Mytilus edulis: one gene and its partners. The protein of the gene in region 2 purifies or fractionates together with the protein of the main gene of each other region. This does not show direct contact. Links are inferred from orthologs where the notes say so. Each region holds a gene or a part of one and is shown on either strand. Other genes may lie near its edges.

What was found. The genes of interacting proteins can lie anywhere in the genome.
Region 1: the proteins of leucine-rich repeat serine/threonine-protein kinase 2-like (region 2) and translocon-associated protein subunit delta-like purify together in Homo sapiens (co-immunoprecipitation; 3 studies listed by IntAct, with this or other methods). This does not show direct contact. The link is inferred for Mytilus edulis from reciprocal best matches to the Homo sapiens genes LRRK2 and SSR4.
Region 3: the proteins of leucine-rich repeat serine/threonine-protein kinase 2-like (region 2) and sequestosome-1-like purify together in Homo sapiens (affinity purification with western blotting; 3 studies listed by BioGRID and IntAct, with this or other methods). This does not show direct contact. The link is inferred for Mytilus edulis from reciprocal best matches to the Homo sapiens genes LRRK2 and SQSTM1.

The regions. Positions count from the first base shown.
Region 1 is NC_092344.1:13,970,245-13,977,745, reverse strand, and holds the start of translocon-associated protein subunit delta-like, read right to left. Parts: upstream 3,054-7,501; 5' UTR 2,967-3,053; coding exon 2,903-2,966; intron 1-2,902. UniProt on the Homo sapiens protein: TRAP proteins are part of a complex whose function is to bind calcium to the ER membrane and thereby regulate the retention of ER resident proteins.
Region 2 is NC_092344.1:55,467,589-55,475,151, reverse strand, and holds the start of leucine-rich repeat serine/threonine-protein kinase 2-like, read left to right. Parts: upstream 1-4,518; 5' UTR 4,519-4,603; intron 4,604-7,563. Other genes in the region: 3 beta-hydroxysteroid dehydrogenase/Delta 5-->4-isomerase type 1-like, read left to right, coding at 191-759. UniProt on the Homo sapiens protein: Serine/threonine-protein kinase which phosphorylates a broad range of proteins involved in multiple processes such as neuronal plasticity, innate immunity, autophagy, and vesicle trafficking.
Region 3 is NC_092351.1:5,214,314-5,221,656, forward strand, and holds the start of sequestosome-1-like, read right to left. Parts: upstream 3,054-7,343; 5' UTR 2,591-3,053; intron 2,076-2,590; exon of another isoform or gene 2,051-2,075; 5' UTR 1,831-2,050; coding exon 1,662-1,830; intron 69-1,661; coding exon 1-68. Other genes in the region: uncharacterized protein, read left to right, coding at 3,926-4,151, 4,714-4,809, 5,876-5,979, 6,321-7,328. UniProt on the Homo sapiens protein: Molecular adapter required for selective macroautophagy (aggrephagy) by acting as a bridge between polyubiquitinated proteins and autophagosomes.

The sequences.
Region 1 (7,501 bases), about 41 Mb from region 2:
ATAATGCACATATGTCATAGCATACTGCATACATGTAGCAGTGTTATTTTGAATCTATATTTTTACCTAGTCAGGATTTCTCTGACGATGAGAAAAATAAAGCGTGGCATGCAGATGAAACTTACATAAATCATGTAAACGAAAAGATATTGAGATAGATTTTAATTTCCCTAATATTTTTGAATGGGCAAATATCTACTTTTGGATATAGGACTAGGTCTCACATCTAAGGGCCCAGACAAGTTGGTCTGGCAAAACAGCTGTTGGACATCAGAATAGCTGTTCTATCCAAAGGTCATTCACCTAAGGAAATTTTTTTCATATTTTTTTTTTTTTTATTATTACCATGTAATGTCAAGCTTGGTAACTCATAATTGTTTCTCAGTAACTCAATGTACGATGCTGGCCCATACTGAACCTAGTGACCTTGTTTGTTTACATTCAAATTCCAATGGCGTCAAAATCATGTGATGTTAAATCGTTCTACCCAATCAAATTGCTTTATTGTCAATTAGGTGATTTTTCAGTGAGTCTACTGCAATTAAATTATTTGTTTGTGGGATATTGCTTTAAAATAGTTTGCAATAATTTGGGGTTTTATTCATCAGGAAACCTCATTTTTTGCCATCCCTTTCGACATCAATGGAATTTCGTATGAATATTTACCTAGTCATGATGGTCAGAATATCAATCTTTTTATAATTAATCAATTTTTTTTTCTATGAAAAATTAATGTAAATTGTTTTTTATTGACCTACATGTACATGTACTCTATATTCCTGAACAAAATTATGGCATGGACATCGTTTTTCATATAGTTTTCCTTTCATTTTGGCTGGGCTTTTTTCGCGGGAAAATCACGAAAGACATAAGGAGCTTGTCATTTTGAAATTCATAAAAATATGATTTGCTTGAACTGTAATGCCTGCCTCAAGATTGATGACGAATGGAATGTAAACAAAGCAATGGGAGGCCGGAAGTGGGATTTTGTGAAGTTCTAGAATGTTTTTAGGCATTCGGAAGTTGGGATTGAAAGGGCCATTAGAAAATTGGCATGTTGGAGCAATACTAGAGAATAACAATGAAAACGTATATTTAGACATGTTTTTTTATTCAAAAGAGTAGAAAAAACATATTCTGCACTGATTTTCTCTGTTGGAAGTAGCGTAGTGACGTCAATGCATAGTTTCCCCGTGTGTTAAGTCCAAACACAAATACCGAACGAACTAACAAGATGACCGATTTTAGACTACGGTAGGATATGTCAGACTAACAGTAACATTTAGCTAACTTTTTATTTTTATCTTATACACAGGTGCTTGAGGACAGGATCCTGTATGAGCCCCAAATAGTCCCTCCCCCTTTTTTTATATATTTTTTTTTAATCATAAATCTCAGATTTTTCTATATATATCCCTTATTTGTACTAATTTGTACCATATATATACTAATATACCATATTTATACTCTAAATATGCATGTTTACTATCAACGTGAATCTCGACTATAGAGCGAAGCGAAAGGTTGCCAACTTCGTTTCAAGAAATTGGGGCAATGGTCAGGAAAAATTGTTTTAAAATCTAATAAAATGTCTCTTACCGGTCTAATCAACGAGTACTTGCTGTTCCTACATAATTATCCTTATCGAATATCAATATCCAGACATAATATATTACTGTTTAAACACTTTTAATTATTTTTTTCGCTGGTGGTGTTGCTGTTTTATGGTCCATTCAACTTCGATCAACGGAAGTTACAAAACAACGACATCTGTGTGGTCTTCAGCTCAAGAAGGATAACTCCACTTGAAAACGCGGGAAATTAGATGAGTTCCGGGGTAGAAAAAGTCAGAGATTTTCGAAATGTTTACATTCGAAATTCTCTTATGTTTTCTTATCCAGCATATACCCCGGAACTCATCTAATTTCCCGCGTTTTCATGTGGAGTTATCCTTCTTGAGCTGAAGACCACACAGATGTCGTTGTTTTGTGACTTCCGTTGATCGAAGTTGAATGGACCAAAAAACAGCAACACCACCAGCGAAAAAAATAATTAAAAGTGTTTAAACAGTAATATATTATGTCTGGATATTGATATTCGATAAGGATAATTATGTAGGAACAGCAAGTACTCGTTGATTAGACCGGTAAGAGACATTTTATTAGATTTTAAAACAATTTTTCCTGACCATTGCCCCAATTTCTTGAAACGAAGTTGGCAACCTTTCGCTTCGCTCTATAGTTGAGATTCACGTTGATAGTAAACATGCATATTTAGAGTATAAATATGGTATATTAGTATATATATATGGTACAAATAAGTACAAATAAGGGATATATATAGAAAAATCTGAGATTTATGATTAAAAAAAAATATATAAAAAAAGGGGGAGGGACTATTTGGGGCTCATACAGGATCCTGTCCTCAAGCACCTGTGATCTTATATACAGATTGTGTGATTTCTAGAAGCCTTTTGGTGTGTCCAGATGTAATATTTATTTATAGATGAAAATAAGCTTTTTCAAATACATTGTAAGCAGTGTATTGTTTACACAAAAAGCATGGCAAGAGTATGACCACTTCGGCACTTGTTACGTTGTTTTCAGAATTTCAGGATTGTCACTCTTAATATTTTCCTTACGTGTTTACATGAAGGTTCAATCAATGACATGACAGCAATCATTTGTTAAACTAGTAAACAGACTTAGACAGGTAGATTTACCAGGTGGCATCGTGTATAATTAAGTTACACGTTCAGATGAAACTGCCACGTCAACACCGGCAAATCAAAAATAGGATTTTCTACAACAGTTACTGTATTTCCTACGCTTTCTCTTCGTAACATTATGTAAAATAATCGTAGTAAGATGATTTAAGGATGCTCTTGATTGGAATATCTTACCTAACACTGCAAACGGCAACAAAACTACCACCAAAGATGCCAACATTGTGCTTGTTGTCGCCATTGTTCTAGATTACCTCCCCTTCGAAAATGTGGCGACCGGTGATCGATTATATTTATACCATCGTTTATTGCCTGGGGCCAGCAGAAAGTTTCCGGTTTTATATTCACTAATGTTTATCTGGGAACAGTATATCTAATATATTTGTTCCTGGGTTTATGTACCACTATAGTGACTATACAAATCTTATTAACAAGTTTCCGAGAACATCATTGGATATTGATCTATAAAAATAGATAATAATAATATTTAAACCTAAGGCAAATATAAAAGGGGGTGGGGGAGGAGTGTTCTTATAAACTGACAAAATCAAACAGGGATTTATAACTAATTTTCAATTATTTATTTTTTTCTTAACTTGTGATTTTTTTTTTGTGCTTTATTCAGTTAAGTTGGAATTTTAATGCTGCAGGAAGGCGGTTGATTTCTCGATTTAAATATACAGTACTTGATGATGGTACTTATAATGGTTTACTTTTTTAAATCGAGACTTGGATGGAGACTTGTCTCATACCACATCTTATTATATCTAGCACTTGATGATGGTACCTTGGCTTTATATTTTCAGGTATTCATTTATCAACCCTTCAACAGTTTCGTGCAAAATTTATAAAAAAAAAATGTACGAGCTTTTAAACCAAGAACATACCATGTTTACCAACCCTTAAACATTTGGCAAAATTTTGAATAAAGTTGACAACCTTTCAAATTTCTTGAAACGAACGATTTCAATGTGTATAGGATGCCATTGATATTTTTCATATCATATCATACATTTCTTATTCTTTAAGATTTTTTTTCTTTTTTTTCAGGAAGTTATGTGTTATTGTATTTGCTATTGAATTTTAATTTTTTGATTTTTAAGACTGACCGAGAAGCATTTCCAGATGCTATTTTTTCAACAAATTTTAGGCATACAATTTAGTTGACTTTATTTAAGTCTCAGATCCAGATAAAATCATTACTATCCGCCTTTAAGGTACATTTTTACGTTGTGCATATCATAAGTCAATGGCAACAATTAGCTCCAGGACATTAAATAAATAAGGTAATTGTTGAATATTATCAAAAAGCGCAAGTCTAAACGTGTCAAGATGATATATATTTTGGTACCATTGGTGTTATATTAAAAAAAAAATAGATTACTGAATGCATTACTTTTCGTGTATCTTTGCAGTAACTTGTTTTTTTATGACCATTTAATTACTAATTGTGTAAGGAATTGTGAACTAACGGAAATGAGATTTTTATAAAGCGTGTCGATTCTGAAGGGCAAAATGCATGAAATATATTAAAGGACATTGTAAGAAAAATATGAACATTTTTGTACGATGCTTTTAACCATGAAAAAGCGAGATTTATAAACCCCATCAACAGTTTCGAGTTAACTATATTTTATTTTACAGTTGACATTTTAAAGAAACGAGAATCTGGTCGTGATAATAATGTTAAAGAAAGTATGGAATGCATATGTATATTAATATAGTTAAAAAAAAAATTAGTTAGTTATACCGGTAATAAATAGTCAGTTCTCAGCGCATGTGTTTACAAATATTACTACGAATCTATGAAGTTTAATCAACAAGTAATATTTCTTTCGGTGATTGTTGACCGAAAACTTAGCAGCATATTTATACTTTCCGGCGGATTTTGATGCCGAAGCTTACCAGTTTTACCTTGTTAAACAATCAACGTAGATTTATGGGGTGCGAGTACAACATTTAAAGGTGATAGATGAATTTGTATTTGTTTTATTTTTCAAGTATACATTGAGACGAGCGAGCATATAGTGTAAGGAAGGACACTGTAGATAAATGTCTACTTGATAATTGGTATTATGTAATAAATAAAGTAGTTAGATGCACATTCCATTGACTCATTGGGTATCAAATTTCAGAATCCTCTCGTTTCCCCTGGTTGAAAATAAATGATTTAACGAAATGCAAATATAATCTAAAAATTTGTAAGGGTTCCGCGGAACCCAGTGTCTCGCCTACTTATGCTGTTAATCGCAGGCTCAACAAAAATGAGGGGAGGAATCAATTCCTCTCAATACTATCTTTTGATTGTAAGAAGCTTCTGTCCAAGTTTGGTAAAAATCCAGGATAGTTTATGAGTTTAATAAATGTTTTAAAAACTGACTGCAGACTGTATGTAATGTTAACTGAAAGACAAACTAAGTCCATTTATAAGTAAAATACGGATAAACAGGTACAAATTTTTTAACAAAATTTCCTTCTACGATACTATTTTATGATCATAAACAAGCTTCTGTCCAAGTTTGGTAGAAATACCAGGATAGTTTAAGAAAGATTTTAAATTTTGAAAACTTTAACCACATAGTGAATGTAATGTGTCCTGGCAGAAAAACTAAGACCATTTAAAAGTAAAATACGGAATTTTATTTTTACAAAATTGACTTCTGGATACTATCTTATGATCATAAACAAGCTTCTGTCCAAGTTTGGTCCAAGTTTGGTCGAAACCAGGATAGTTTAAGAAAGTGATTAAAACTTCAAAAACTTTTAACCACAGAGTGAATATTTGTGGATGACGAGGACGACGACGGAATGTAGGACTAAAGTCGAAGGCTCGACAGAAATAAAACTGCTAAAGAATATATATTCGTTCTCACTTGCAGATCAAGCGGAAGCTTATTTTGCCCAGACTCCCAGCGATTCTCTCTTTCGATCGGACAAAACATGAAGAAGGTTCGAGCAGAAGACACTAACATACGTTTAAGTTTAGTATCACGTAGAAAGTAGCATTCATAGGTCACCATACGGTCTTACGAATGAGCAAAACCCATTTAGCATTTCAAGCTATAAAAAGATCCCGCAATTTTAATGAGAAAACAAACATACATGATAAAAATAAATGAGAAATAAATACTATGCTTACATGCAGCCACAAACAATAATAACCCCCGATTTAAAGACATGGGACAGGCACAAGTCAAATTGTTCAATATTAGTTCAAAAGAAACACAATAAGTATAAATTTCATATAGGGACATATGTAGGTGACTTCCTTTTTATCTTTCAATACATCAGGTCATAAGAGATATATGTATTCTACCTATTTTGACAAGTCTTCGACAATATGTCTACAAATATTGTTCTAAAGTTTGGAATCAAATTTCACACTTTGTAATCTTCTTTAAAAAAAAATTGTAAATGATGAATATAAAATTTCATATCAATATCATAACTATACGATTGATAGATACACAGGTAAAAAGACAGGTGTGTGTTGACGGAAAAATAAACATTTCTGTTCAGGTAATCTATTTGATCCATTAGGAAAGTTAATAGGATAATATGTGTTGGCGCTTTTTAACAAGGATTAACAAAAAAACTATTCGGATTTATTACACACATTAAGGTGATAATATTACATATTGAAATTCGGCCAAAGTTAGGATTTAAACACTATGAATGAAGAAGAATAAACAACTGCTCGTTCATGTAACATTTTAACATGCAATCGATCGTAAACATGTTCAAATGTAAATATTCATAACGGTCCACGGGTCAAACCGAAACACGGATTAAAATTTCAGATCATTGACGACCCGAAACAGATATAATTATAGCTAATAGACAAGAAGATCTCCGCCTTTACAACTAGGGAAATATTTCATTACAATAGGAAGATATTTAATGAAGGGATGTGACGAATGAGTGATTAAGTATAAATAGACGTGTATTGCCTGTGTTGTTTATTGACAATTCTCAGGTGAAGTGCATATTTTATATAATCAGAAAATGCAGACATGTGCAGTAAGCAACAGGTAAATGCATGTTTCTGGTGTTAGGTGAAAACGTGAAGAAAATATCACCCCATTCTATTAATCGAAAAGTGAAATGTACTTAGACCGAATGGATTAATAACAAGTCGAAAAGTCACAAGGATGGGTGGAAAGTTAAGTTGTGCTAGTAGACGGTATGCAGAGAGGGATTCAGATTTTCAACCTTATACTAAAGGACCCATTCCAAAGCAAAATGTTGAAGGTGAGTCAAAAGTTATCAAGCTAAGCTAACAAATATAAAATGGGACTAAAAATTTCACATTCAACCAGTAACTGTACTCTAGGTTAAGCTGATTAGATTTTATTTTCAACGATTTAAACTGGTAAATTCATTTTTAATCTGTCTCTGGTTCACAGGGTTATTAAAGTCGTATATTTTGTGCATATGTACTTTTTGTATTTAACTGTCATGTTTAAAACCGTCATATATTATCCTGTAAACTACGTAAGAACATAAAAAAGAATATTATATTTGCTACCGCAGACTCTAAATTGTTGAGGTAAATTTCAGACGAAGTATATTTAATCTGATGTATTGGTCCTGTTAGATTAAACAGAGAAAGCCAGATGAAATATTTAGTTTTGAAAAATGTGTGTCAAGACTGAAAGAATGGGTGTACAGAATTATTTGAGTATGAATACATGTAAAATACATGTAAAATAAACCTATATATATAATGGTTTACTTTTTTTTTTTTTTTAAATTGTTATTTGGATGGAGGGTTGT
Region 2 (7,563 bases):
ATTGTTGGTCTCCATGCATATTGATATTTGCCATTGCACATTAAACCATTAATCATCAATTTAAAGTGAGCAATACGGAGTCCATGCTACGGTTAAGCTTTATTCTGTAATACATGCTCTTTTATTTGAAGATTCTTGCTTAAATTTTGTTAATAGCATTGTACATATATTTATGTAGATTTCTTTACAGGTATTGCATTTCGAACCATTTCTTTGCGACCAATGGTAATTTATGGAGAGCTTGATCAACATTTTATACCTCAGGCTATAGAAGCTGGACTGCAAAACAAAAAGATCATGATTGATTTTTGTGGCAATGGAGCATGTTGTCTTGTTTACGTTGGAAATATAGCTTGGGCTTTTGTATGTGCTTATAAAGCAATGAGGTCAGATAAAACGCTTGGAGGCGAAGCCTTTCTTATTAAAGATAACAGTCCTAATAAATCAATGATGAAGTTTTGTAAACCATACTTTGATTCATTCAATATATCATTGTATCGGTCGTTTGTTCCTTATTGGATTCTGTATGTACTGATAAGTTTTATTCACATTTTACTGTTTTTAATTTCACCATTGAAGAAAGTGCAATTTCCAGTAACAACAGCAACACTTATATATACAAATTTAGCGCTGTCGTTCGACGATTCAAAAGCTAGAAAAATGTTACAGTACAAACCTTTGTACACTCCCGTAGAGAGTTACAAATGTTCACTTAAGTATTATAATTCACTTAACTTTGATAATAAAAAGAAACACTAGTTATATTTTTCCTATAATCTATTTTGATTTTTAGTTATGGCCACACAGAAAAGTGTCAATAAATAAACTGCACCATACAAATGAAAACAAGGAAAAAAGATAAAACGTAATGTCGTGTAAAACCCCAGTCGTTTGCATAGTAAACCCCAATAGCATCAATTATATGCCAAATACGTATCACAACCAAAGAAAACATTCCTAAAAATTGGCGATACTCAATTACACAAATTGAACAACTAATATGTGCCTTGAAAAAAAGCAACTTGACAAGCAATCAAATTGAGAATGGAAATGATAAATGTGTCGAAGAGGGACGCCCAAAGAGCACAAAAAACAGCCGAAAGGTTTTAAACACAACGAGAAAATCCCGAACCCGGAGGCGTGCTTCAGCTGGCCCCTAAACAAAAAAGTGTACTGATAATAGACATCATACTAGACTCCGAAATATATAAATGAACTAGAATAGCCCGAGGCTCCAGACTTGGGACAGGTGCAAAAATGCAGCGAGGTAAAACATGTTTTGTGAGATTTCAACCCTCCCCTAAACCTGTAACCAATATAGAAAAAACAAACACACTACAATATGCACAATAAAACTCAGTTTAAAAGAAGTTTGAGTCTGATGTCAGAAAAGGTAACAAAAGAAACTAAACAAAATGACAATGATGCATAAATGAACAAAGGACTATAGCTACTAGCAGTTGCTGACATGCCAGGATCGTATGAAATAAACATAATTATACTTAAACGGTAACTGTAGTTGTTTACCTTCTACGTTATATTAGTCTCTTATGGAGAGTTATCTCATTTGCAATCATACCTTCATACTTTTGTATAAATCTTATTGTGACAATTTGTTATAGTGTGGAATCGTATCCGGTCTCAATCTGTGAAGAGATAATGCGAATATTACGGGTTGTGTTCGTTATGACCCATTTATGGGCATTATGTTTTCTGATCTGTGCGTCCGTTCGTTCGTTCGTCTGTCCCGCTTCAGGTTAAAGTTTTGGTTAAAGTGTTTGGTCGAGGTAGTTTTTGATGAAGTTGAAGTCCAATCATCTTGAAACTTAGTCCACATGTTCCCTATGATATGATCTTTCTAATGTTAATTTCAAATTAGAGATTTTCCCCCATTTTCACAGTCCATTGAACATAGAAAATGATAGTGTGGATGGAGCATCCGTGTACTGGGGACACATTCTTGTTTCTTATTCATTTGTATCTTCTAAATGAATTTTTGAGATTAAGAAGAGTAAATTACTGTTGCTTCTAAGTTAAATAAAACAGACATGGCCATGACTTTTGGCATTTTCAACTGAGCATTGACTTTGGTAAATACGAGAGGAAGGCTATGCTATTGCATGATAAAAAAAGTTACATTTGCCTAACAATTAAAACATTCATGTTTATCAAGTTAAAATCTAAACCCAACTTATAAAGGTCTGCGTGAGGAGCGCAATATCGGATTGTATTTCCTTTTCACGACCAATCTTGTTACCGCATTGCTTGCAAGAGACTACTTGAATCATCATCGTTTTATGGTCAAACCCATGTCTATAATGTTGAATCTCAATATCATATTCACTCATCATCTCTAAGCACCAGGGTTATAAACCCTCGGAGATTGCAATCGCAGTAGCCATGTTAAGGAATTCATTGTTGATTATTCGAACAATACAGGTTACTCAAAGCTAGTTACATCTGAAGTGCCTAAGTAAGATATCGACTGGAAGTACTAGTAGCTTTTTTTGTGACACACTATTTCATTTTGAATATGAAAACAAGCCGATACAACTTTTTATAAATTGTGCATATTCTATTATCTGTTTGTGATAACACATGCAGCCCCTAAATATATTTTTCTTTCTTGTATCACTGTTATAAATGAATGGTTTTAATCACGGTTTGCCAAAATTACAGATTTGGTCAATTTTGATTTTAGATTTTCAAAAAATCTAAATTGATATATCTTTTAATATTGTTCTCTGCTGTTTATTGTGTGTCATAATGTAAATATGTTCGTGTTGCTATAGCATTTAACTACATATACTTTGCAAATACAGATTTCATTCATTCAAATATATGGAAGAGGAAACACATCTTTTAAAGTGATGCCATTAACTGTCCTATAGTCTACACATAATAGCTGACTAAAACACAACTACAAACAAAACAAAACTAAACAAATCCGTATAGAAGAATGCTCGTAGTTCATGAAATATAACCTTCTACTGTATACGCAGATACGATCTTTCATACATGGCAAAATACAAACCAGTATGAAATTTTGATACAAAAAACCTAAAGAAACATTGTAGTTTTGATTTCAATTGTTAAAGATCTATTTGATGTTTATATTGCAAAAAAACAAATTACCAGGATGTAACAAAAATTTAACACAAGTCAACATTAAAATTTAGTAAGCCCATTAGGGACGACATTAAAAGTTCAATGAAGGATAAAAAACTTAATTCAAATAGTTTTTTCACTGACCCCCCTACCCCCTATTAACTTAATTTGGGAAAAATTGATTGACCCATGTGGATATATGTAAAAATCAATGTCGGATAGCCAAATCTTGCAGCAGTTCAACCCCCACCCAAACTATTAAGTTTTTTTGTTTTTTTTTTATCTTACATTGATCTTTTGATGTCGTCCCTTAGCTGAGAAGAAACAAGATGTAAGAACAGTTCATAAACTTTTTAGTTTTACAAATGGCGTTGTCGTTAAGTGTTGGATATGAAATGCCACTATTTATTAATTTCCTACAATTCAGTGAATACTGCCATAAACTTTATCGAGTTAGTAATGTACGGTCAAAGTTGTGTGAAGACAATTTCAGCCTTTCCAAAAATTTCATTTCTATATGAGTAACATTATATGCATGCCTAGTTTATAATTATAAATGGTTTTTTTTTTTTTATTAAAGTGTGTGTGTCAGGCCTATCCACCACAGTGAATGGCTGGTAAGTTTGGGATATTTGACTTAAAGTTAAAGTAGATACCATCAAAACTGTTATCATGCTAGAATACTTGTTTCCGTTAGAATTGTTTTACATTTGTTGTGCCGGTGCCTTTTATAGCTTTTATGCGGTATGGATTTCAAGTTCTTATTGTAGAATGTCTGCTTACGGTAGCCTATAAATGCTAACATCTAAGATCATCTAAGTCATTGGGTCAAACAACATCTTTTTATTTTATATGAAAAGAAGTATAAATTATAGCTCAACTTTATAACTGAAAAATTAATGACCACTGTATATTCCTTCAAAGTTCTTAAAAATTTAGAGTTTCTTTCTTACAGTCAATCATATGAACAGTATCCGTTGACTTTAATTTCATGACAAACCAAGACAAAATTTTGATGAAACATATAAAAGGTTCTTTTTTTTATTATTTTCATTTCTTTGTTATAGTTATTGTCTTTAATTTGCTTTACTTCGGGAGATAAAATTCATCGTTCATGTACGTTTGCAGTCTTGTAAACTAGTACAAAGAGATGTGGAGCAGCAAACAAAGAAAATAAACAAAAAATACCTCAAACTTCAACCGAAAGGGGGGCAATTGATCCTGCTAGGAGCAGTATAAAGACATGTAAGCTAAATTTCATATAGTAAGTTATTCTGTCTATAAATTTCAGCCATACTATTTGCCCTTTAACATGTTAAATATCGCCAAAAGATATGTGTAAAAGTGGGTATGTATGTACAAATGCTATAAATACATTTGGGCTAATCGGATACCTATTTAAAATTTTATCTCACATGATCTTAAAATCAGGTGAATTTTATTTATAACACAGGAAATGGACAAATCAATTATGGTGTGTATATTCATATTTCAGGTAAATACAATATTTACGTTCAACGTTTTCCAATTCAGACCCAAAATAAACACTCTTAATTTGAAACACAATCTACACCGCCGCATATATTTATTTGTGAACAGGAAAGAAAATACAAACACTATAGACCATCTTTTACTCCTGCTATCAAACTCAAAGAATAACTTCTCTGTATAAATAAGATTCAATGAATTATGAATAAATAAATGTCAACATACTATAATATATACGTGGTAGGTCATCACAGAAACCTATAATAGAGAATGTTATTTCAACAAAATGTGTAAACTTATGTAATTACACCCAATTCGACGACCTCAACGGTATACCATTGGCATGGTTTGCTAGTACATGGCCGTATATCGAACTGTGTGTTCCTGCAAGGACCTTGCACATATACTATACTATTCTCAGCGAGAACATGGATAGTCTATACTAACTATATTAGTATATAATGTCCCTGGATAGTCAGTATAAGAACTACCCGGTATCCTTACGTCTGGGACCAGATATATATATGTATTATATATCTTTACTGCATGGGACCTAAATGAGGACTTTATATTGCCATTATATCATTAGATGTATCAGTATGCCCAGTGAGGTTATGTCACGAGGTCATATAACCTCCTTGGTATGCCTGAGCTTGTTAATAAACTGTCCTAAATATGGAAAATCTCTAAATGGAACCTCTGAATTATTTCCCAGCACAAACTCCTCAGCACCTTTTATCACGGTCCAAAAATCTGTCCAAAGCCTTTTAAAGTTATTTAAATATATGTTTCGAGTTGATTGTGACGTCCATTTTCACACTAGAACACATTTTTGTCTAGTGGACAGCCAAAGCAGCCGCGGGTATAAATCTTTTTTTTTCTAATATAGGATTTCGCTATATTTTTCTATAAATGACGGGAAAATACGAAAACCAGTAAGAAAACTTGAACATGACGCAGCGGCATTAATTGTGCCAGGTTGTGTGGTGTAACTTCAGTGTTTATTGTGTAACCCGTTTTCGCCTCCTGACAGAATGCATGGGGTCATTGCCGTTTTCAAGATTTGTCAGAGGTTTGGTGAAGCATGGACTTTTCTATGCTGTGTTTTGTAGACTGTTGTTTGTCTTTCGCTTCGTTTTTTAAGCATGGCTTAGTTTTCCTTCACTGATGATGTAGTGTTGTCTAACAACGAAAATGCGCGTTCATAATATAAAATCAAGATAACTTTAAGCTTATGGTCTACACAAGTTTCATTTGAATCAAAGACATATATATATAGTATCATGTACGTCTCTAGGTTGGATAGACAAATTATGCTAGATCGATACCTGTGTTATATTAATATATTTTTTTATAAACAAGTGTTAGTTTTGAGATATCTAAGTCTTGAAGTTAGAATAAATAGCAAACCAAAGTCTTAGTTTGTGGTCAGTCCACTCCTGTCACCTTTTAACGATTCTTTTATTTTCTTTTGTTACATCTTCTGACATCGGACTCGGACTTCTCCTGAACTGAATTTTAATGTGCGTATTGTTATGCGTTACTTTTCTACATTGGCTAGACTGGTAATGGGGAGGGTTCAGATCATCTCATAAGCATGTTCAACCACGCCGCAATTTTGCGCCTGTCCAAAGTCAGGAACCCATGGCCTTTGCTAGTCTTGTATGATTTTTAATTTTAGTTTCCTGTGTATAATTCGGAGTTTGGTATGTACTAGTGTACATATTTTTAAGGGGCCAGCTGAAGGACGCCTACGGGTGCGGGAGTTTCTCGCTCCTTTGAAGACCCCGATGATTGGTGGCCTCCAGCTGTTGTTTACTCTATATATATATGGTCGGGTTGTTGTCGCTTAGACATTATCCCCATTTCCTTTCCAGGCACTCGTCTCAGATCCCTATATACCTGAAGTTATAATAAGGAGGCCCCTCATGGGGGGTCCTAGTAATCACATAATCACCATTTTTTTGCCAATATAATCACATAATCATTAAATATTTGCTTATCTTTAGTAATCAAATAATCATAAACTAAAAATACAGTCCTAGGTAATCAAATAATCATGAAATATTTGGCTTAATAATCAAATAATCATTAAAAAAACGGCCAAGTAATCACATAATCAAAAACCCCATGAGGGCCCTCAATAAGGTATATACGATTTTTTTTTCTGAGACAAGTGCCTGTGCAGTGAGTGGCGGCTCCAGCCATTTAAAAAAAGGGGGGTCCCAATTAACCCAGAGTAAAGGGGGGTTCCAACTATATGCTCCCATTCAAATGCATTGATCGGCAAAAAAAAAGGGGGGATTCCAACCCCGGGAACCCCCCCCCCCCCCCTTTTGGATCCGCCACTGAGCACTGTGTAGTTCCTTTCTCAATTTTAGATAAATTATGTAATTGCAAGCACTATTTGGTAGTTTCTTTCCCCGACGCTTCGAGTTCCCATTTTGTTTGCAGGTCCAAAAGATTTTTATAGAGCTAGAGGAGATGCTATAAGTAACAAGTCTTGGAAGTCCAAATTTGACATTCTTCTTCATCTTACAGTAAGTGGCCAAGGTCAACTGATTGACCATGTTGACTATCATGTCACAAAGTGACATTTTTGGAGTGCGCCCATGAAAATAATTTTAAATTTATATATCTTTATAGGTGACATGAGTAAAACTTTATTTTGGTTCGGCAAATTGACAAACATATTACAAAATAAGCTCTATTGTATTTTTTTCTTTCAGATCAGAAACCAGACTGAGTAACATATATGCCTCCCCCTTTTTGAAAGTAAATGGTCAGTCCCTAAGTTAAAAATATAACATGATTTATGATTTTTCTTTTATCATTTTATAATTGCTACTCACTGGCACTGCCATGACTTTCAGTCAATTGAAGAACATCGCCTTCTGGCACTGTCATGACTTTCAGCCAGTAGAAGAACATCGCCTTCTTCTTTGTCATTCAGTACGCCATCCTCAT
Region 3 (7,343 bases), on a different chromosome or scaffold from region 2:
ATCTACGAAACCCAGAGCCTCTGTTAGTTCATCGTCTGTAGAAAAGGCAATCTGGTCACCCTCCGGATCTAAAATAAATAAGATAGGTACATGTAATTCCTGATTAAGTCTGCCCCAGAAACTTTAAATATCTCAACAATTTTAGAACAATCTGCAATGGGTTTTCCACTTTTTTCAAATAAATTGAGTGTCTAGATAAATTATATTAGGGACATAATATATAGTCAGCATACTATTCTCAGATATTAGTAATTGTTTCCTTATAGCTTTCAGTTTCAATAGTGTTTTCCTTGTAAACATGAGGAAATTTTTATATATATATATATATTCATGTTCAAAATGTACATGAACTCATTCATTGTCTATTGTGGAAATTAACATGCATTTGTTTCTGTTTCAATCAATCTTATTTTTTAAACATAATTAAGATTAATTGAACAAGAGTCAAAAACATTTAAAAATTTCTTGCATTTATTGAAACAATGACTGGAAAAAGAATTATAATCTTGTTATAAAAAATTATTTAAACATCTGATCACTTTAAAGTCATAAGAAACCTCAAATCAAAAAAAAAAATAATGCATATGATTTTTATAACTCAATGGATAGTTTTCATTATAAAACTTATGTACATATACTTTTTTCTGAAGAAAATTCTTTAATTTATTCATATTTAGAAGAAGTTTACTTTATTTGAATAGCTTCCTTCCAGCAAGCTATTCCCCCGACATATTTTCCGTATGCAAGGTGACCTCAGTGTGACCCATCTCGTAAAAATCCGGTGACCACAATACGCATGGATGTCCTTAAAATAAACTATTATCTGAATTTACATGTTAAACACGTGCTCAATTTCCATGCTTTTTTGTTTATTTTTCGTCAATTGTTGACAAACAGGTGACAATCGTTAAACTTCGGCTTCAAAACACGAACTTTAATTACCTGCCATATTTTCACAACAACACTGACCGATTGAGAAAAAAAATTGACAATTATACGAAATTTACACGAAAAAAATGATAAATTGGAGCACAGAAGACGAGGTTTAGGATGTTTGTATGCATTACTTCAAGAATTGGAAGAACATTATTTTTCACCGGTCACTCGTTTCTTATGACTTTAAATTCAACAAACTAATAATGCAGCATTTTAAATTGCAATAAGCCTGGTTTGAAAGCAGGTCAACTATTATTAGACAAATTATACAGGATATACATTTTTGTACAGGTATACAACATTATATATATATATGATGAAACATCAAGGGCATTTAACAGAACATAATAAATTACATAATTAATTTTAAACTTAACCAAAAGTAAAATGGAAATTCAAAATACCTAGACAAAATAAATAAACCTTTTTACAGACAGCATTTCAATTTATAAAAGCTTCCTTTCATTGCATAAATTGACATATTGCATCGAAAATATGGAATATATCAAATCCGTGAAACCATCAGTGTTATATATATATATGACAAGATTGTTTTTATTTTCTATCCTATTTACTACATGTAGCAATCAGTTTTATAACAGCTGCATACAACCGTATACAGTTAATCTTTTGGTTGCCTATTATAGTATATCATGTTATGTACAAATGTACAGGTATATCGCTTTTGTAAATAGTGTAAATTAAAATAATCAAAATCAACTTACCAGTCCAATATAGATTAAAATTTCCTTGCTTTAGGGTAGGATAAATATCCGCCACTTTCTTCTGAAGATAGCTGAAGCTGCTTGAAACATCAGCAGGCACAGCAAATCTACGTATTTCTCTCTTTTCCTCTCCTTTATTTACCAAATAGGCTTTTACTGTCAATGACATCTTCGCGGGAAATTGTTGTTGTTGACGTTGTGTCCACTTTGCTACCAAATAGAGTTATGTCTAAATTCGTCAACTCTTCTCTTTTTATAAGCCCAAGTTGTCAGGTATGAATGACGATGAATCGACGAAAGATTTAATTCCAGAACCAACTAGACCAGGTAATTGAAAGTAATGATGACAAACATTTGTTCAAATATGAGTGTAATGCGCAAGTTCCGTTCTGAAAAATATCAACAAACAACGATGTCATGTCTATTTTTAGTAGCACACATGTTTCCTCTTTATGCAACACAAAATGACACGACGAAATTGAACAGAGAATAAGAAACTTATGACCATGACGAATACGTTATTCTTGAATTTCTGACATACAAACAATTAGCAATGTCAATTTCCATTTATATCAAATATTTTTTTTCACATTGTATCAAATATTTGTATAGTAAGATTTGTTAGGCTAATTTGTCACAAATTGAAAATTAAATTATAAACGATTCTCTGGGGAGGAGTAGATAGGAGATATATGTTTGTGTCGATTCAGATGATGACAAGGATTATGAAAAAATATAGCTCATATAAGAGGGACCACCCCACCCTTTTTCGACCACTAAATCCATCAGGTGTAAATCATATTCATGAGAAACTGTATTGTTTTAATTTATTTCACTTTTACATTTTCTACGTTTTGCTTGACAAGCTATTCATTTTCATTCTATGTTTTGTTTTTTATTTGTCAATGTTGAATATAAGCAGTTCCTACCAGGCCAACCGCAGTATCATGATATGCAACTCCCAAAGTACTCTTGATCTCCGTATAATATGGGTCGCTCCAATATTTGGAGAAAATGTTTTAATAGTAAAACTTTCTATAGTAGGCTCTTCAGAATAAAATATATATATAGTACACACACAGTGACATTCTCCCCCCAGTCCTTCTTTTCTTTATGTTGAGTCCTACTTTTTAAGAGAACTCTATAATCCTGAAAATTTCTGCAAGGATTATTTATATAACTCAAGTGTACCTTGAATTTCATAAAAAAAAAACACCAAAAAAACATATGCCCATCCGTACAAACTAGAAATGGATCAAATCGGCCAAATATACAGAGTTGTAAATAAACAATATTCCTAAAAAATATCTGATAAAACTATTCCGTTTTCCTTAAAAACAACTTATATAATTATCGTATTTGTGTGGTGTACTTAAATATGTTTGTTTGTTTGTGATATACTATTGTGTTAGTCTAAACAGTTTTGTTTTAAAAGGGAGTGAACTTTAAATAGTACAATTTCTTCCCGTTTATTTAAGAACCCAAATGTAAAAAAAGTTCAACCCTCCCCAAGTTCACACACACACAAACTTACATACATGTACATATCTTGATCATGACTAGGAATGGATGAATTTTGTGATTATCTTTTTTTTTTTTGCATGTTCTCTATCATATTTAATGTGTATCTTTTCAATTAAGTAAGGCGCTGCCGTGTACGCTAGTTTGATATTAGTTGCTTATAAACTAGTTATGATATTTCGAAAATTTTCATCACAATAAACCTGATTTTCATCACAATAAACCTGGTCAAATATTTTTGGAAACCCTGTTTTGTCGGTTGCATGTGAATGACTCGTGACCTTTCAGTTTTGAATTTAATATCAATAAATAAATATGTTCCTTGTTTCAGGAGATAAAAAAAAGTAATATTTGTTAATAATGTGTATGTTGTTACCTAGTAAGGCCCCTCAAATGTTCTGTAACCTTAATTTTAAATAAAACGTTTTAAATCGTTTAATTGCTCCTTTGATAAATTGCCAAATTTTTCTCTTTGATTCTTTACAATCCTCTTTCGTCTATTCATCTACCGCGTGGCTTATTGTAAACCTTTAATAAGTTGAACAAATACAATCCTCTTTCGTCTATTCATCTACCGCGTGACTCACTGTAAACCTTTAATAAGTTGTACAAATAGAATGACGTTATTCGATTTCATCTAATTTAAAAACCGTTGACTCATCATCACGAGGTATTTCATCGTTGTTCTAGAACATTCTTTTCATCTATTTTCGTCTATGACTCACGGTCATGGGACATGTTAGATGAATGGTATAAAAAGCGATGATTCGTTTAAATGCGCATTTGTAGCGACGAAAATAAAGTTCGAATCAACTGTGAAAATGCCGCTCGTAATTAAAGCAGCCTTTATTAAAGAAGACGAAACCTCTGAATTCCGACGATTTACTGTCGATGAAAATTTGAGCTATGAATTCCTGAAGAGGAAAATTACCAAGATTTTCACAGATAAATGTGAACTAATGTGGAAAGGTAAGTTAACATATTATAATTAACTCAGGTAAATATACACATATATATATAGATAGATCGATGAAAGATAAGTAAATATAAGTTATTTATATAGAAAATATTTATTTAAATAAAGACAAAATATGTATATATTGAAACTGTTTGTTTATTAATTTATAATGTCAGAGCTCTAGTATAATGGAAAAAAATAATGGACGGAAACGTGATTGAAATAAAATGTGCTGCTCTTTTAATTAAATAAAAGTGATGAACAAAAGAAACTTTTGAAACTTGCTGTTTTTTTGCCAATTAAATCCGAATTAAAAATGTGAAAAATGCTGGTTTTGTTTTATGCATGGGGAACTATTTTACCTATTTTGTTCAACTTATTTAAAAGAAGAGAGATAATGTACACCCCTTTTCAAAACTTATGTGATCTGTGTTGGAGTGAAATACGTGATCAATTATAGCAGTAAAAGCTTAGGGTTGCCAGTGTCTGCATCGTAGGCCACATGCGCATGATTTTATAATATTAATTTCATAAAACAGGGAGTAATTAATCACCATGTTATATCAATTGTAGATGCTGATGGCGATCTTGTCTCATTTTCTTCAGACGAAGAACTACAAGAGGCGTTGGAAGGTGTCTCCGGTGGTATATTTAGAATGTTCGTCACAGGTAAGCCATTTGATTTATCGTATATGCAGTTCATGTCTAGTGCCTGAAAAGGTAAAAAAAAAAAAGATAAAGACTTGAAAAAATTAAAAACATAACTTATTAAATATAGATTTAAGAACTATAAATTCTGTTAAGAGATTTTTATTGATACAGAATCCAAAATCTTGATACAAACAAAATCATATTAGCTGTGTCATTTTTTATAAGCATGTATATGTTGGAATTTTCCTCGTTATAGAAATTCTTTTGCTCAAACTTCGGTCTCTTTTGTTCGTTTAACATATCAGTGCCGAATATAAAATCATCGCACATGTATTAGATGTAGGATTTTCGTATCCGAGGGCCGTCAGCCCCGAAGATATGAGACATCTACATTTGAATCACATAGAAGTAATAAACAATTAGTTTATCATGTCTCTTGTTCTTGAAAGAGCAATTGATTTTGATAAAACAGAAATAGTTTCATGATCTGTTAGGCTCTGATCCTGTCCATAACGTTATAGTATGGTATTAGTTTTCTGTTTTGCTTTTTCCAATCATATCGTGTTGTAAAATGATGCCCTTTATGGGTTCTTGATTAGATTAATAAAATTCTTAAAATAAATTCTTATAGAACATCGTTCATAGCTATGGACATGAAATGAAATCCTAATTGCGTCTATTTTTCACGGTCATCAGAGGCGGATCTAGACATTTTTATAAGGGGTACAATGTCTGCCTAATAGGGGGCCGCTTTAGTCATGCTTCAGTGGTTCCCTATATAATCAACCATTTTTTCCAGGATACCCCTCCCCTCCCCCTAAATTCGCCTCTAAAATAGTCATTAAATTGATACGCTTATATCACTGCTTTTGATTTGCAATATGCATCGCTCTACTATCTTGTCTTTTTCTTGTTTAACTGCAATTAGAACTTTTTGCTGAATTAATAATGACATTATTCAGATCGAAATCTCGATTTTACAATGTAATTTTTGTGTGAAATATTTGATTCATGAATATTTTATGTGGGTAAGTTTATAATGTATAGTTCAATGCATGTTAAATTATACATTTATTTATTTCAGTTGACCAACAGAAATATATGAAAAGTGTACCCCAGCTTAAATATTGTAACACAGTCAATAAACAGAAAGAAGCTGGGAGAAGGCTGCACAAAGCTCAAATGATGGTAAGTAAAATTAAGATAAGAGGAACTTCCAACTTTCTTATTTGCTTACCGAAACAAACTGAATGATCAACTAGAAGCAATTAACCAATTTGTAAACGATGAAAAAAAACACAGACAGAAACTCAAATACGGACTTCGTAGTCTTATAAATGTGTATAGCCACATATCCATCTGAATACACCCTATTTTATCACACAAATCATGTTTTGAAAGTAATTTATATACATTAAATTGTTTAACATCCATATAAATAAAAAGACGAACTACTCTTGCGTGCAATATAAAATTAAATTCTCAGTTGAACTTATAATAATGACCTATTTTTCGTATATTTTTTGTAGAAGTCTCCTGATTTCAACGTTGACCAGAATAATGGGCGGTCTATATTCAAAATAAGACCAGGTAACTATGAATCTGCGCTTGAATCTTTTAGATTTTATCATCGTCGTCATGGAAACAAAATGCAGAGGAAATCTAATGAAGAAATGGAAGCCTGGTTTAACAGAAGACAACAAAAATGGTTGAAGCGACAACAAGAAATGGAACATTCATTAAACACAAGAACTGAAGGCCACAAGAATCAAAATGGTGAGAACGATCGTCTGCAAAAACGCATCTGGCGCATAAGGAACAAACTCGCACATTTTGAAATTGGAGATTTGACTCCAGAATCCACTAACCAGGAAGGAAGTATGAATTCAGGACCTCCGTCTACAAGAAAAGAAAAGGTGGGCCGTGGAAGATTCGGACGTAAAGAAGGCAAATTTGGTAAAGATAAAGACAATGCAGTGATAAAACTGAAACTGAAAAATCATCACCGTGCAAGAAGTTGTCCAAGTCGTATCACTGGGACAATATCTAGAGCAGTACAATTTGGTCGGTTTAATGCAGGGAGACGGTTTGGTAAATTTGGTCCACACCATCATACCGCGGAATGTCATGATCGTAAATGCCGAAATGGTCACCACGGTGACAAACAATTGAGAAATGGTCCGTTTAAAAAGAATATACGCAAGATGTTCGTCGAGTCACAAGATAAACCAGATGAGTATATAAACGATGAAATGAAAACTAAGCGTCGTTGTCGTCGTCAAGAAAATCTTGAAAAGAAAATCCATTTCCGACAGATGCGTGAGGAAAACAAGAAAATACCAAATGCATGGAGGGTGAAGCAACGAGGGTTAGGAAACCGTCATGGGCGTGGCATGAACTACTGGATACCAAGACGAATGAGACTTCTCAACAACCTGTCAGAACTGGAAGAGGAGAAGAATTTGGTACAATCTGAACTGGAGCATGGATGTAGACATACTCCAGGCGGCTCTATAGATTGTCTACACAAAGTCTAAACAAAAGTTTAAACC